3 linked regions of the Nothobranchius furzeri genome follow. The protein of the gene in region 3 purifies or fractionates together with the protein of the main gene of each other region. This does not show direct contact. Links are inferred from orthologs where the notes say so. Each region holds a gene or a part of one and is shown on either strand. Other genes may lie near its edges.

What was found.
Region 1: the proteins of ctnna1 (region 3) and tes purify together in Homo sapiens (affinity purification with mass spectrometry; 3 studies listed by BioGRID and IntAct, with this or other methods). This does not show direct contact. The link is inferred for Nothobranchius furzeri from reciprocal best matches to the Homo sapiens genes CTNNA1 and TES.
Region 2: the proteins of ctnna1 (region 3) and B-cadherin purify together in Homo sapiens (affinity purification with western blotting; 10 studies listed by BioGRID and IntAct, with this or other methods). This does not show direct contact. The link is inferred for Nothobranchius furzeri from reciprocal best matches to the Homo sapiens genes CTNNA1 and CDH1.

Annotation. Positions count from the first base shown.
Region 1 is NC_091744.1:52,297,895-52,303,498, forward strand, and holds the start of tes (testin), read left to right. Parts: upstream 1-1,809; 5' UTR 1,810-1,971; coding exon 1,972-1,998; intron 1,999-5,604. UniProt on the Homo sapiens protein: Scaffold protein that may play a role in cell adhesion, cell spreading and in the reorganization of the actin cytoskeleton. Plays a role in the regulation of cell proliferation. May act as a tumor suppressor. Inhibits tumor cell growth.
Region 2 is NW_027223037.1:4,230,707-4,235,684, reverse strand, and holds part of B-cadherin, read right to left. Parts: intron 2,159-4,978; coding exon 2,030-2,158; intron 1,816-2,029; coding exon 1,630-1,815; intron 1,378-1,629; coding exon 1,133-1,377; intron 1-1,132.
Region 3 is NC_091748.1:78,693,274-78,698,912, forward strand, and holds the start of ctnna1 (catenin alpha-1), read right to left. Parts: upstream 3,258-5,639; coding exon 534-3,257; 3' UTR 1-533. UniProt on the Homo sapiens protein: Associates with the cytoplasmic domain of a variety of cadherins. The association of catenins to cadherins produces a complex which is linked to the actin filament network, and which seems to be of primary importance for cadherins cell-adhesion properties.

The sequences.
Region 1 (5,604 bases), on a different chromosome or scaffold from region 3:
GAACATACAAAAAAAGATGGATCTATTTATTAAAAGTATTACATATAGAGGCAACTAGCACAAGAACATTTTAAATAAATTTCATTAACACTAAAAATGTTTTTATTTACGGGCACTGTTGGAAAACCCACTTAAAGCCTTCCTGTTCCGACCCAGAGAACTTAAATTTACCTACTAAAACCTCCTTTTCTGCATGTGTCAGTCTGTAGTTGGGTTATGTAACTGAGCTGAACAAACACAAGTAGAGAGTGGCGTGGAAAACAGCTGCAGGATTCCCACTGACTTACCTGGAAAGCCAACAGCGTTCCCGATCCTTATATGTGGGCCCTGGAGAAAACCGGGAGCTTCTAAACTGTCATCGATGAACACATTAATGACGGTTTATAAAGAAAAGAACTTCAGCTTAGATCTGAAACAGCAGTTTTAGGAGAGTAAGGCTTCCTCTTTTGTGCTGAAGTCGAATGTTCGGACCAAAGCGATTGCAGCAGAAGACCGGAGTTTTCAAAACTGATAAGCTGTCCACAAACCTAACTCACAACAAAGATCCAAATCGGGTCTCACAGCTTTATGCTCCACATTGTTCTGTTTAAAACGAGACAGTATACCCTCTTTTCTACTAGGATCACCATGAGCCACAGAAACTTCAGCAGCCAATCAAAATGTGTTACAAACATGCTCACTTATGGATTTTGTTACATGTACAATTGACCCAAATTTGATTCCACAGAACACAGTCTTCTGTTCACTTTAGGATTTTGTTTGGAAACGTCCCCCCCTCCAGTGTAATGAAGCCTTGGAGCACCTCCTGCATCGTTCGTCGTAGCAGCACAGCCACATAGCGCTGACACGCTGGGAGGTGATGACATGGCAGAACACACAGAGCAGACATGGCAGAGAAGCTGTGCTGCTGATAAAAGCAGAAAGTATAACACCATGTAGGAGCAGCCAGGGTGCGACCGTGCCATTTCCTTTGAGGACAGCAGCGGCACTCACAGGAAGCTGTTAACCACCAGTTTCCTGTCAATGAGACAGCCCAGCAGCTGTTTGACAAGAAGTAGAGTAAAAACCACAAACAGCTGTGGTGTGTGGCTTCACATCCCATAATGCCAGTCTGCATTCGTACAGGCCTGTGGGCAATTACTTTCATGCCTTGGTGTTGTAGACTCATCCCTTAGCATGCCTTTATCTACTAATGACTAACAGTCGGCTACTGCAGTTTGTGTCCATTGTTGAGTTCAGGACACGCCCCTTCTGCTCGCTGATTGGCTGCCTGACAAGTTCACAGAAGAAAAATTTGTCAGGGCGGAAGCACCCCCCACATCTCCCAGTGAACGGGACGGGGGAGAGAGGTGTCAAGATGGAAAAAGGATACACACAGAACCGGAAATCAACTCAATGATGCCTTCACAATCAAACACACACACACACACACACACACACACACACACACACACACACACACAAACACACGCACGCACACACACACACACACACACACACACACACACACACACACACACACACACACAAACCCTGACCATAACCAGTGTATTTCTAATCTGAACTGTAACAAAAACTCTGTTCACATCTCATGTGTAAACCTCACCCCTAAGCTTAAAACAGGAAGTCCACCGGGTTTTGGTCATCATGACATCATCTGTTTGTAATTATCTTTCATTTGTTTCATGATATAGTTTAGTTTCTGATTGATGGGCATTTTATGATCTGATGAATGACTTTAATGAAAAGGTATGGGTGATTTATGAAGCGTGCTATAGTTTTATCTTGAAAGGTTTGACCGGAAACTGCACACCTGAGCGGGCTTGACTTATTGAGCGTGCAGTTCAGCGGAGGACAGGACCAGCGAAAGGAGGATTGTTCTTGTCTTTATTCCCTGACTTTTTCCAGTGCTAGTTTTTGACTGCCGCTTCAGAACAAGTCCGACTTAACTTCTTGTGAACAACCGTCACGATGGAAATCGAGAAGGAAGTGAAGAAGGTAAGCTGAAGCTTTCTCCTGAGCTGACCCCCTCGGTCGGTGACCAGGGAACGCCCTGAGGTGTGCCGAGCGCGTGCAGGTGGCGAGATAACCCACAGATACCTGCCCAGCTGATTACTTCAGCAGGGGTCCAGATTTCTACTGATTTATTAAAACCTCAGTTCAAATATTCATTCATATGTTCTCATGCGTGTTCTCTGCCTTTTGATTGAGCTAGTTTTGTTAGGAATCAGACCTAAGACGTTTCATGCTTTTTTGTTGACCCACGCACTTTCTGTTCGCGGCTTGCGTTACTTACTTCCCTTTTTAATTCGAAGGAAGTCGGCTATAAAACAGAAGAGTCGATTTCTTAACCAAACTCACCACTGTGACCTCTTCCCGTTATTAATGAACGGCAGAAGCTGTTAAAATAACTCGAGTAGTTTTGGGTTATTATTATTGTAAAAGTTTAACGCTTCTGGCACGTGTTGCTTGTAGCGTTACCACAGATGATGTTTGTAGTTGGCTACTATAGATTTGATCAGATGGTAACGCAGATTTACTCTGTTCAACACACTAAAACCTACTTTAAGGTCTGCTTGTTCCTGCAGAGGTAAAACATTTTGCTGCAAGCTTCTGCAACACAGATGCCCATTCCCGCCACTCTGATAAAAAAAAAGTCAAAACATTTAATCAGAGTGGTGAAAATGCGCTTCCATACTGGTAATTAATTAAGCTTTAAATAAAAATCAGTTTGACTGGTACCTGTAACACAGGGTAACAAACCAAAACAGAGCATGAGGCAGCAAGATGTTGCAGAGGGAAGAGGCAGAGAAAAAAATAAAAATACTCAAAACAAAATGGCCAGGGCTTCACGTCAAATATATTTTCTACAATTTAAAAAATATTTTTAAATAATTATTGATATCAATCAATATAAAAAATAAATTATACTATTATTCTGTATCGTCCAGCCCTAGTCCAGGATCAGATGCATGTCTGATGAGCAGTCGGAGCAGAAGCGTCGCTCCCTTTAGCCACCGGCCGTCCTGCTGCAGAACAACCACTCATGACAGTAACTCTGACTCCGTAATTCTGAGTCAGTGTTACATGGTAGAGCGTTAAACCACCAAATAGTTCCCGAGCGCAGCCACTGCTGCAGCTTACGGCTCCCCTCCATGGGGATGGGTCAAACGCAGAGATGAATTTCACCAGTGTGTGATGATGGCTGTGGGACTTTAACTTTATGGATGCAGGTAGTTGCCTTGGATATTTACAGATTCAGATATGCAGCTTCTGATGATGCATATGATGAAGGTGTCTAAACACACTGTGTGTGTGTGTGTGTGTGTGTGTGTGTGTGTGTGTGTGTGTGTGTGTGTGTGTGTGTGTGTGTGTGTGTGTCCTTTGACAGTAACCAGCTGTTGACTTGGTCTTGGTCCAGAGGGCCCAAACCTTTAGCTTTAGTGTTGGTTTATGTAACGAGTCAGTTAGACTAAAACTGAAAAACATTTTTACTATAGAGGTTAACAAAATGTGTCCTCAAAACAAATCCCAAATACCAATACTGATGTGCTGTTGGTGACAAATAGGGCTGAAGAGTGCAGCATCACTGATGTTAGCTGATGTGTGGGGGGTGTTTTCATTGTCTGGGTGCTACTGGATATTTTCTGGAGTCTCTGCAGCAGAAGCTAACGTCAGACATCAACACACTACAGACAGACATCCTCGTCTGCATTCCTCCCTTCTGAGTGTGTGTTGGGTCACAAGTATGCTCCCTGACAGCAGGGGTGCTGGCTGGAATCTTTGAGCCTCGTTGACCATATATGGTCACAGCCAGTGGAGATAGAATAAAGTTTACACAGGCGTTGTGTAGCACAGACAATAGCAAACCAATCCTAAAGTTAAAGCCAAGTGATCAAAGTTGTGGTCCTCATGAGGCAACGGTTGTGAAACTCTTAAAGAGAAGGAGAAATCTTTTCTGCTGAGATCACAGAACATCTGAGCCAGATTAGAGGACTTCAGGGATGTGTCAAAACGTGCGTGTTCTCTCTTGTGCACATGTTGTGTGATCCCTGTTAGAGCCTGGGGTGTGAACAGGGTGCTGCATGCTATATGCTGTTTGCAAAAGTTGGCCTTTTGATTTTACTAGTTTTGTTAGGAATCATACCTAGAAACTAAGATGGTTTCCATGTCAGTGCTGAGTAATTGACCTGATTTTATTTTTTGAAGTGTGTGTGGGGGGGGGGGGGGGTGGTGGTAGGATTAGGGATGGTGCCTTTCACATTTGAATCAATTTGGTACCGATTCCCAGTACCTAGAAATCATATGAGTACTTACTGGTACTTTTGAGTGTGTATTAAATGAACTAATTGTCTTTTAAATATGAAAACCTTCAACCACAACTGTTTCTAAATGATGCAACAATTGAAACCCACCTCCATATGCTCCTAATCCTATTCTATGCCCTCTGGAATAACTATGATGAAATGAAACTAAAGCAAACTTCAGTACCATCCAGCTGTTGAATACTGTGGTGTTTCACAAACTAAAGCCAGCTCCATGTACTCATATTGCTCTCCTGTCCCTTCTGGACAGACTGTGTGATGGTTGGCTCCTTGTAGTATTAAAAACTGCAAATTAAACTGAAGCAAACATCTTTGCAGTGAACTCAACTAAGCTAAACCATCAAGCTAATGGAGCAGATTAAGACGATGACGACTCATTTAGATCAATGTCAATATCAGCAACACCCAGTCACCCATCGCATTTAGTAAAGCGAAGCCAAACTGTATGGCGTCCCTCTGCCTACTCGGAAGTCAAAATGTCCAAGTACCAAGGAGAGAGCGAACACACCATTCTCTGCTAGCAACGAAAGCTCAAATATCAAGCTAATACCATCTTAAACTATTTATAGTATGTAGCAGAGCAAGACAATGATGGCTAACTTAGAAAGTTGTCAATGTTGTCATCATCACCCAGTCACCATCACATTTAGTGAAGTAGACCCAAACTTTAGAGTGCGTTCTTTCTACCATGCTGCTTGCTCTGTTTACAACTCGCCCGCAGCGACTGACGACATGACGCACTGTCCTTGATCGGTACCACGGAATTCGGTCGGTGCCTTAAAAGTACCGAATACGGTGCCCATCCGTAGGGAGGATGAGAAGCTGTAGCTGACCTGATTTGGCCCTCATTAGTCAGAAGGTCTGGTTGTTTAATGACATCATGTGGTTGAATGCTGCTGCTGGCAGCTCAACTGCCTCGTTCACTGGTTAGTGATGGAAGTCATCTGGACAGACTAAATGTTATTTCAGTGTAAAACACCCCCTTAAAGGACAACCACTAAAATCACACGGTTCCATTTCTGTGGTAAAAAAAAACATCCACACAAGAATCTGTGATGTCAGTGATTTTCTACAACTGCGTTCTACTCTGGACTACTCACAGATTTAAAGTGCATGTCAAGTGTACCTCAGAGTCTTACCCCACCCACGTATCAATTTTAAAAACTGCAACATTAGTAGGCGTTGCCTGGAGGACCGAGAGGGCGGAGCCGCGGCAGTGACGAAGACGATGGCTAACTAGACGAAGCTAGCTCCCTTCACTCTGAGCAGTCATTAGAAG
Region 2 (4,978 bases), on a different chromosome or scaffold from region 3:
GTGCCGCTTCTGGGACGCGCCTGGAAATTGCCGCGTTGCGGCTGGATTGAAACACTCCATAGACTATAATTGGATTCTATTTAAAGCGGTGCCGCTTCGCTGCTGTTCCGTTCCGCTGATGCTTACAGTGTGAAACCGGGGTTACACGAGGGGCGGGACTAGCCAGCTCAAAAACAACCAATCAGAAAACGGTTCAAAGCAACACTGTAGTTTTTTAGCTGTAGTCAAAAATGGTACCTGGTGACGAGATGTTTGCGCTGCTTCATGCAGTTTTAGAGACATGTTCAAGTCATTTAGAGTAAGGAAAGTGCTGCAGCAAACTCTGTCTTCGTTGTTTATGAGAAACTCAGCATCGCTGTGTGTGACGTACGCTGCTCAGCGCTGATTGGCTCGGTTACAAATCTCAGGGGGTGGGGTTATTTGAATGGGGGAGTTCCCAGACCAAATGCTTCCCATAAGGAAGGGGATACCTCAGAAACTAGCCAGAATCTTTCCTTACACCCGCCATGTTTGCCTTCATAGCTTTAGTAACTCACACAAAGCGTTTCAGGACATGTTTTCCCCTGGGCACAAGAAAATTACCGGTATCAAAATTACCAGTATCAAAATTACCACCATCAAAATTACCAGTATCAAAATTACCGTTAACACAAACGTATAAAATGTCCAAACTTGTCTAACTGGGGAAATAAATGACTTCCTTTAGTCAACTAAAAGTGCTTCATTTGCATCGCTGTTTCTGTTTTAAAACGGAGTAAAGCTATAGTTTAGTATTTTAACGATCTCCCGTTAGACACTCCGATCAGGTCCTGCTTGAGGCGGCGACACTCATCCAGACACAAACTAATAAAATATTTTCCGCTGACATTTTTACACCAGCCACTTCCTCTGAGTTTTTGGGCTTTTCTGCATTTTCATGTGATTCTGGTTTATCCAGAACTTACTGGAAATGTTTGGTAAATTCTAGATATGATTCTGTTAGTGAATTGTGGTGAGGGCAGGAAGCCTGAAGCTTTATGGTTCACAAAGGTTTTCATCAAACCTTAAATCCTCTTCACCATACACACACCTCTCTGTTTTGAGCTGAAACCAGGTTAAATACAGACAAGTTAATTCTAATCAGATTTCTTACATGACCGTCTGTTTGCGCGCCGTGTCCGGGTCTGAAGCCGTGTACACCGTCACCCCACTGCCAGGAAGAAGGCTCTCAGGTTTGGCCACATGCTTCTCCGTGGGATCGAATATCGGAGGTTCGTTGATGTCGAGGACCGTGACTGTGACTGTTGCAGTGGAGGTGGGCACATCATTAACAAATGGAACCTCGTTCTCCACTGAAACCATCAGAGTGTATATGCTGGTCATCTCATAGTCCAGACCCTGGTTTAATGGAGGAGGAGGAGACACCACACAACAGATAAGACACTAGGAGCTCATTCAGCTGATGGAAGGTTTCCACCGCAGGACTCAGAGGCCAAAACAAAAAACTGCTGAGGCTGTGCTGCGGTGTCGGAGTCAGGGTTACCCAACACTGGGTGTCCCCTTCAAGTTCCGCCTTTACACAACAAACCAGATGCAGTTCTGGCTCTAAGTGAAGCTTTACTTTGTTACGGAGAACTCTGTTGCACCTACCTTAACGGTATAAAGAATTCCTTCCTGTTTGTTGGCTCCCGTTTTCACAGCAAAAAATCCTCCGGCATCTCCGTCTACAATCGTGAACTTGGCGTTCCAGGCTTGAGTGTGTGGATCGTCTCCGTCCGTCACCGACATTCTAACCACCACAGCATCCACTTTATTCTCTTCAACTGATGATTTATACTGAAAAGTTCAGAAGGTTCTAGATTAGCTCCACTTTAGGGTCATCGTGTAGTAGTTTGATTGTTTTGACTGCAGCAGCACAAACTGGACTGCTCAAGCTACGCTAAAACTGTTCATTTACAAAGTTAAACTTCCTGTCAGCTGTTAAAATCAACACTAGTAAGTTACAGAAATGATCCTGATGCACGAGTAGGTCTACATGTGTTGTACTTACTGAGGACTGTGTGAAGACTGGAGGAAGGTCGTTGCTGTCCGTTACCTTGAGTATTACTTTGGCCTCAGTAAACAACCCTTCTCCCTGTGTGTCTGCAGCTCGTACCATCAGTGTGTACTGAGGGTATTTCTGTTGGATAAAAGTGACGTTAATCTGCAGTAATACACCATCGCTTCAGTTTATAAGAAAAGTCACAGACTAACGACTGCTTCATAAAAGTCTTGGATCTCCTGTAAACTCGGATGCCTCTGACCTTACAGTGGACAATTAACCAAATAGTTGGCCTTTGGTAGGCTACATCAGCACCTAAAGTTTATCCCTAAATTTTCATAAGAAATGACGAAAATGATGCAGGAGGGCATTAAACACTTGTTTTAGCATTTTTAAACAAATATTTTCACTAGCGGTGGGCATAGATTTTTAATCTAGATTAATTTCACTGTAATCTTGGAATAATCTAGATTAAAATGGTTTGTTTGAATTCCACCAAAGGCATTCCTAATGTGTGTGTGCTACTTAAATAACTAAAAGGAAGCATTTGAGAGCAAGTTTCCCAAGCCAGGAGGAGCATTAGTCCAGGGGCTTATCTCCCGTTTCCAAAAGCATCACAAATCGAGAAATCTTGAAATAAAAACACATCTAAAAACTTTGCTATTCAAGTAACGTTTCACATTCAGAACTTATTTTTAAATAGCACAATAAAACTATGCCCACGTCATCTTTAACGCCAGTTCAAAGCGATCTAGAGAAGTTGTCGGTGTGGCCAATCTGTAACTTTCATCTTCAGCCGAAAGAACCAACGACAAGCTGGATAAAATCTGTTGCTGTAAACAATCTGTAAACAACTGCTGCAGCGGTTCCTTTCAGAATAAAAGCTGAACCATCACGACCCCGTTTTGGGTCTTGTTAGATGCCGATAAACTGTTGTGACCCGGAAGAATCTCAAGACTGGTGGTCGGCTGCCGCGGCTGTTTCCACAGGCTTCGGCTCCACAAAGGTCAAGCTGGACCTCTACTAGGGTTGTCACGGTAACCGGTATAGCGGTAAACCCCGGTAAAAAAGTTGACAATAAAAATAACCGTCCAGTTTTTAAAAAACTATATTATCTCGGTGGGTTTACCGTGGCCGCGGTTTCGGCGCGATGACCCTTACCAGCCACCGTCGCTTCAGCTGAATTTCCCGCGGCGCGCACACGCACTTTTTAGTTTGCAACGGCACCAAAACTTTGAAGCTGAAATAATGGCCGAAGGAGGAGACGGCAGCGCCCAGGACATCCATCAGCCCTCAAAGAAGACTAAATCGGAAGTATGGGCATATTTTGGATTTCTGAAAATTGCTGAGGGACAGTTAATGGAAGACTGCTATCCCGTTTGCAGAACGTGCAGGAAAAGTGTCTGCAAAAGGCAGCAACACTTCGAATCTAATGGCACATGTGTGTGACCATCACCCACGTCTCTACAGCCAGTGCAAGGTAAGTTAACATTAGCATTTTAGCTTAAATGCATGACGTGAGGACTTTTGGTTGAGGGAGAATACAACGAGTCACTATATACTGCAGCCGCAGCGCCCTCTGCCAGCATTTAAACCGTGTCACGGACACCCTGTTGCTGGATGAAGCGTCTTATTTGTTGATGATGAAGAGAAATATACAATTAGTTCTTTGTCATTGATTTGTTTACTTATTCAATGCCATTTATACTTGAACGTTTGGATTTGATTACATAGTGTAGTAGTTATTTTAGTAATTTGTTTAAAGTGGCTATTTATTTTAAATACATATTTTTTAAGGTTGACTTGTACAGTGCTCAAGTCAAGTGTGGACTGGAGTTTTAGATTTTCATTTTGATAATGAAGAAAACAAGTATATGAGAAAACAAGTGGTGTTTCTTTGATTTGTTTACATATTGTTTATGTTTCGAATGTTTGGATTTGTAAAATTTAAACCTGCACTGACTACTGTAACATGTTCCAGAAAAATTTGTTCCTTTACTTGTGAAAAGTTGCACTTTTGCTAAGGCTTTGTGTTATTTTAGGTTTAATAAACACTGTTGAACCTTTTCAGAACTATTTCAGTTTGTGTAGAACAGGACAATCAATGCTTTCTGAACATATGCAACACAGTTTAAAAAATACCGCGATAATACCGAAAACCGTGATAATTTTGGTCACAATAACCGTGAAGTTAAATTTTCATACCGTGACAACCCTAACTTCTACACCTCCTGATCTAGACGGGGACTTCCACTAAGGGTATGTGGACCGACAAATGGCGTCGAATGTGTTTATGAATCTCCTAAACAAAGTTTAGCGTGAAGACATCACCTTCATTTCCCACCAGAACTAATAGTTTCTTCAGATTTGCTGGTTCTGAACATTCCACACTACACCATTCTCTGTCTCATTTCACCTTAGTTACACCATACATTTAGTGTTTAAGTGAGTCTAATTTGTTTAGTAATAAATCTTTAAACTTTTAAAACTTGACTCTCTTCTGTTGTCTCAGAGTGAATACGAAGTGGTTACATAATCTCTGCAATAAAAAGTTCCAATCTTCTGGTTAAACAGTACTCACAGATCCATAAGGTTGATTTCATATTTATTATGTAATCTTATGTCTTATGGCTCATTAAATAACATGTAAATTAACTCATTACAAGACGCTGGAAAAAACACAGGAGGGGGCGCTTCGGCTCCGCGCTAACGCCGCAAAGCATCATGGGAGTAGTAGTCTTTGTGGTAAAATCGGCCAGCGGGTCAGTTTTAATGTATTTTTGATACTTATCTTGTGGGCCACATAAAACCGCTCTGCGGGCCTTGTGTCTGACACGTGCTCTAAGCAGATACTAGAACTGCTAACATTCCTCTTTCCAAGTATAAATATAAAACACTCAGGGTCAGGTCACTCTTGGCCAACACAACAGTGGCTGAAGGGCCGCACATGGCTCCAGA
Region 3 (5,639 bases):
AGGAAAAGCAGGACGCTGGTTTAAGAGCAGAGAAATGACTGAATTCGGAAGGCGTTCGGTCTGATGGACGCTCAAAAACAAAAGCCTATACTCGCGTCAGCAGGACAGACGAGCTGGTGCTCCAGAACAGGAAGTGTTTACAGGAACCCGAAGCAGAACGTTAGGATTTCACACACGAAAACGTTAGTAAGCTGCTGGTGAACCGTGTCGAAATCAGCAGAAAGTCCACAATCACAACATGGAATAAGGCAGCTGAGATTTTGCATAGTTCATGTATAAAGTTCAAAACGTATTTTGACCAAAATTAAATGAGAAATCGTATGAAAATCATCAAAAGCCTCCTGGAATTACTAATCTGTTAAATCTGCTCTTTCCTCTCGTCTACGTTACGGAAAGGTTCGGCTGCTCGCCCCTCTGGCTGCCGTTTCTACCGAGGTCGATGCTAAGATTAAAGCTAATCTGAAGAACTGGTCCAACCAATAAAGCTCCCTCAATCCTAAACTCCTGGATTAAGAACGTGCGTTCTCCTCCAGCTAGATGCTCTCCATGGCTTTGAACTCGCTCAGAGCCTGCACAGGGTTCACGTGCTTCTTCTGAGAAGACCTCTTGACCTTGTTGGTCTGCCCGTCGTCCTGCTTCTCTCTCTTAACCAGAGGCTTCTTCTCGGGAGCTTTCATCTTCCAGGAGATGGCCGGCATGTTGAGGGACTCCATGGCCTTGGTCTTCTGGTATTTGGTGGAAGCCACGTAAGATGCCTTCACTGTGGACACCACGGCGTTCATCAGGTTCTTTGCAGCCTGAATCAGAGACATGGCGCTGTCCAGCCCAGAGACGACCAGTTCTCCTCCCAGGTTCTGGACCTCCGCTTTGACTTTGCTGCAGATGTTGAGCTGATGGCAATACAAGGAGATACGCTGCAGGTAGGCCAGCAGGTCCTGCTTGCAGGATGAGTCGGGACAATTGTCGGCAATGGTGCGGCCCAGTTTGTCCATTCTTGATCCGGTCTCGGCTATTTTTTTGGCAGCACTGATGACATCAGACGTGTTCTTCAGTGGCCCCTTTCCCCTGGTGAAGTCCGTCATCTCCATCATGATCATGCACATCTGCTTGGCTAACACGATGATGTCATTGCCGCTGTCATCCCACTTGGACACCTCTGCGTCCAGCTTGCTCTTCTCCTCCTGGAAGCTAGCCACCTGTTCAGCGATCTTTGCTTTCTGCTCCTGCGGCAGCTGAGCCATGATGGCGCGTGCGCTTTGGCCCTCAATGCGCTGGTCGTCCTCGGTCTGCACGCTGGTTTTGCTGCGTGTGTCAAAGTCTTCGGTCTCAAAGTCTGAATCGTCCAGTTCTTCTGGAGTTCTGATCATGAGGATAGCCTTGCGTATGTCCCGAATGCCGTCGTACACCAGACGAGACGCATCGATGAACTCGTTCTCGTCCACAGGCTGAGAGGGGTTTGTGCTTAGGGCCTCAACCGCAGACTCGATTTGTTCGGTGAACCGTGGCATGACCGTGTTGGTCAGGAGCTTGGTGGCCTCCAGAACCTTCTCCGTGTAGACCCCCGGTTCATAGTTGTCCATCTCAGAAGTGACAACATGAACGACTCTGGCGGCCCGGCCTCGAATAGCGCCGGCGGTGCGATCCAGACCGTCAACATCCTTCTCTTGAAGCGCGATGACACACTTATTCACGTCCTCTAGGATGTGGTTCTCAGACACACAAAGGAAGTCATCGATTGATGTTATGTCATCAACAGCATCAGTGAGGACACGGACCTGCTTCTCCCACTGATCTTTGAATGCGTCCATGTTGTCCTGGGCCACCTTACTGTGGGGCTTGGCAGCAAGGGCCAGCGCTGCGTTGATCACCTGGGGGCACAGGGTTTCCAGCTGGGATGCTGCCATGCGCACCAGTTTAACCCCCTCTTCATTATTGGAAATGGAGCACGCCAGGTTGGCTACCTCGATCAGCTTGTTGGCGTGTTCGCGAAAGACTTGAGCGTATTCCTTTACTTCCTTTTCGTTGCCATTCTTCGCGGCTTCGATCAGGACCAGGAGGGGGACGTTTGTCTCCAGGAACGAGTCCGAGACGTGGTCCATGACAGCTTTACGGAGCTGCCTGCGGAGGTCTCTGGTCTTCTTCGTCATCCTGTCGATGGCTGTGTTCAGAGCGTCGCTCCTCTCCTTCCTCCCCGCATTCCCCATGTACTCTGACAGGAGGTCCTGCAGAGCCTGGCGCACTGAGTTGCATTCAGCAACAATGCGCTCCCTGCGGTCATCGCGTGTGCAGGAAGAGTCAGCCATGAGTGCAGCTCCGCTGATGATGCTCTCCAGGCGCTCCTCGAGAGAAGGACGAAAGCGCTCCTCGCTGAATGCCAAGGGGTCCACAATGATTTGTTTATCAAAATTGTTGAGGGCATAAGCCAGCTCTCCGGCCCCTCCCGGCTGGCTCAGCGCCGAGTCTTCGGTGCTCGTGGCCTGGGCAGCGTTGGAGATTCCTGAGACCGCATGCTGGAGCTGCTTGTAGATCAGGTCACGGTTAGCCTTGTAGGCCGCCACATCAGGATGCTGCAGGCAGGCACAGGTCGCTTTGTAGAGCAAGGGGACGTTCCTTTGGAGCAATCCACGTGCAGCAGCCATTTGGTCCTTGTGCTGGACGTCCTTTAGCTCCTGCTGCCTCTTAGCAGCCATGTGGTTCAGCTTGTCCACCTCTGGGATCAAAGCCTTATACTGGATCCCCAAATCCTGCTCTGTTCCAGCGCCGCACACTTTAGCCATGCCATCTTCAACCAGCTTAAGCTGCACCAGGAGTTTGTAGACATCAGACATGTCTGCCAGGACCAGCAGATGTGTAACCGCTGAGAGGAGGGCCCTGGCGGCACGGACCATGGTGCCCCTCTTCACAGAGGAGCAGGGGTCTTCAACAAACTCTCCAGAAGCCTGGCGCATGGAATTACCTTGGTTACGGACATCCTCCACAGCCTCGGTCAGCTCTTCCTTGAGGAACTGACTTTCTTCTGCAATCTTTTCTCCTTTTTCTAGGAAGTTCTGGGTGGCCTTCTCCACTGAAGCAGCCAAAACATGAGCCTTCTTGGAGCGTCCCTTCTTCTTGTTAGATGGACCTTTGTTGCTGGAGTTGACCAGAGTGGTGACCTGGGCGACAAGCGGCTGAAGGAGCTTCTCCACTGCCAGAGTCCGGATCTCCAGACTCTTGGGGTCCCATTTAAAGTTGATGTTGGGAGTGTTGACGCTCGTCATCGTGTGGTTTTTACACAATCCGCTGAAGACGAACCGGAGTGCAAAAGTTCAAAATGGAGAACGTCCGGAATCCTCTCCTGAAAAGTTTTCCTCTCTTCTCGGGCTCCGTGTGACGTAGCTCTCGACTTTTGGCTGGCTTTGCTTCTTTTCGGGGGGAAAAAACAACCTCCACGCTTCAAAACAATAAGCGCCTGTGTAAAGTCTTCTGAGCGGTACCGAGGGAATAGTTTCGGTGTGAACCGTTTCGGTGAGGCAGACTCTCGCCCAACAATGGCTAAAGTGGAGTGGAGGAGGGGTGGGGGCAGGGCGGTGACCGAGTTTCCCAACTTCCTGGCAGCGGAGCGGGGCGGCGACAGGCTGCAGCAGGCCCGGAAGCCTGTTGGGAACCTTGTTTGGAACATTTCTGTTGGAACTGGGTGTGTCCGACTCCAGAGCCTGAATGCCCGAGAGTACGTGTCCTTGCTCGACCGATAAGACCGGCGGTCGGACGGTCTGGCCTCCCCCTCCACTGCAGCCTGTAGGTCCCGTTACCTAGCAACCGTGGCGGCAGCTAACAGCTAAAGCTAGCGATAATAGAGCAGCCCCCCCTCCCAGCAGCTTTACCTTCACCAGGTTTGTTCCTCAGGCTGGTGAACAACCTGGGTGAAGTCATCTAGTTTAGTCTACAAGCCTTCAGGACTTCCATGTTGACGTTAGTTTCAGGATGGTTGGTGGGTAAAGGCCACTAGAGTATTAAAATGTGGATAATTATGAACTATATACATTTTAACTACAGCAGGACCTGCTCTCATGTGGTTTTTACAACTCCTTAATCTGTTTTAAAGTGGGTGTAAAAGCTTTAAAAACAGACTTAAGTTGACAGTGGCATTAGATCTTTCCTAAATCTGTGAACCATCTGTAGTTTTTATTATACCCTGCTTTCTTTTAACAGAAAATAACTGTTGTTCTGCCGTGTAACATTCAGAAAGGGTCCACTTTGACCACATAGTGACCGGTCACTGAGACATCATTAAATACGCAGTAGTTCCGCTGTAAAGTGACACTACAGCAGGTTATGTTTTAAATTTAACAATAAAAACTATTTTCTCCCCGTTAATACATGTCAGCATGCACCATCCTGCACATTTCCCTCAGCGCTGGTGACATTGTGGCCTTGGAGGATGAGCGAGCGATGCTGTAGGTGAGAGGCTGGTATGGAGGCAGTCAGCGGTCCAACCCACGACTTCTGTTAACTTATTTATGTAGGAATCCATGAAAAGAACATGCTGCCCTTTTAATTAAGAGTCACAATTGTTTTACTGGTGAATCCATAAACCATCTCCTCATTTCATTTTTGCTGAACATGTTTTAGGGATGTGACAGCCGTTGATCGAGCCAGCCTGTAGATGGAAGATGGAGTGGTCGTGCGAGGATGCCTCCCAAAGCGTTCTCTGCAGACCGCCCTGCACCATGTTCCACCCTTGAACCAGAAATGCCCAGCCCTCCATCCACGTCTGGGATCCTTCTGCAGCACGCCAACCACCTGCTCACTCGGTTTAAAGAAATGATCCAGGAAATTCACACGGGTTAATCAGTTAAGTTTATTTATAGCGCCAAATCACGACGAGTCATATGAAGACACTTAGCAAAGTACATCCTGCATGACGTGTACATAAATGTTCCATCCTTGCATCTTTTAATACTTGTCATTGATTATAAATAGTCTTGTCCCCTTACCATATTTTCATTTTATGTTTGTGTAATGTGTTCAAAAACATCTGTAAATAATAAAATGAATGATCAGATGAGTTATCAGTTAGTATTTGTTTCAATTGCAGCATGCAGACACCAAACCAGTAAATAACATTAACGTTATGCCAGTAGAAGGCCTCTCTCCCAGGAGGACAGCCAGTGAAAGCTGCAGCGGCGAGCCTCTCCTGACCCCGGACACCTGCAGTCCTGAACTGAGAAAATCAGAGATCACAGGTGACAAAAAGGCAACAGACACTTTTTTTACATTTATCCACACGAGAAGATAAAAATGATATTCTTCACACAAACTAGTTTTTTAATTGTAATAAGTGTTAAACTGTACTTTCACAGCAAAACACAAATGCACTGTTGTGGTCATGCGTAAACAGGTCCACTCTTCACCTCTAAGCTCAACAAAAAGCTTTTATTTGTCCCTAAAGCTGATGACGAGAAGCGTTTATCCTCAGAACTCCCCAGCCCAGTGAACCAGACCCAATTCCCGCCTTGCGGCTTTAATACGTTTAGTAGTAATGTTAGTAGTAATAGTAATAGTGGTAATATTTTTTTTTACGCTGGCATGCCAGGCTAACGACTGAATTTAACACCGGTGTCGGTGCAGGATCGGCTCGGGGTCCTTCGACTGCTGATGAC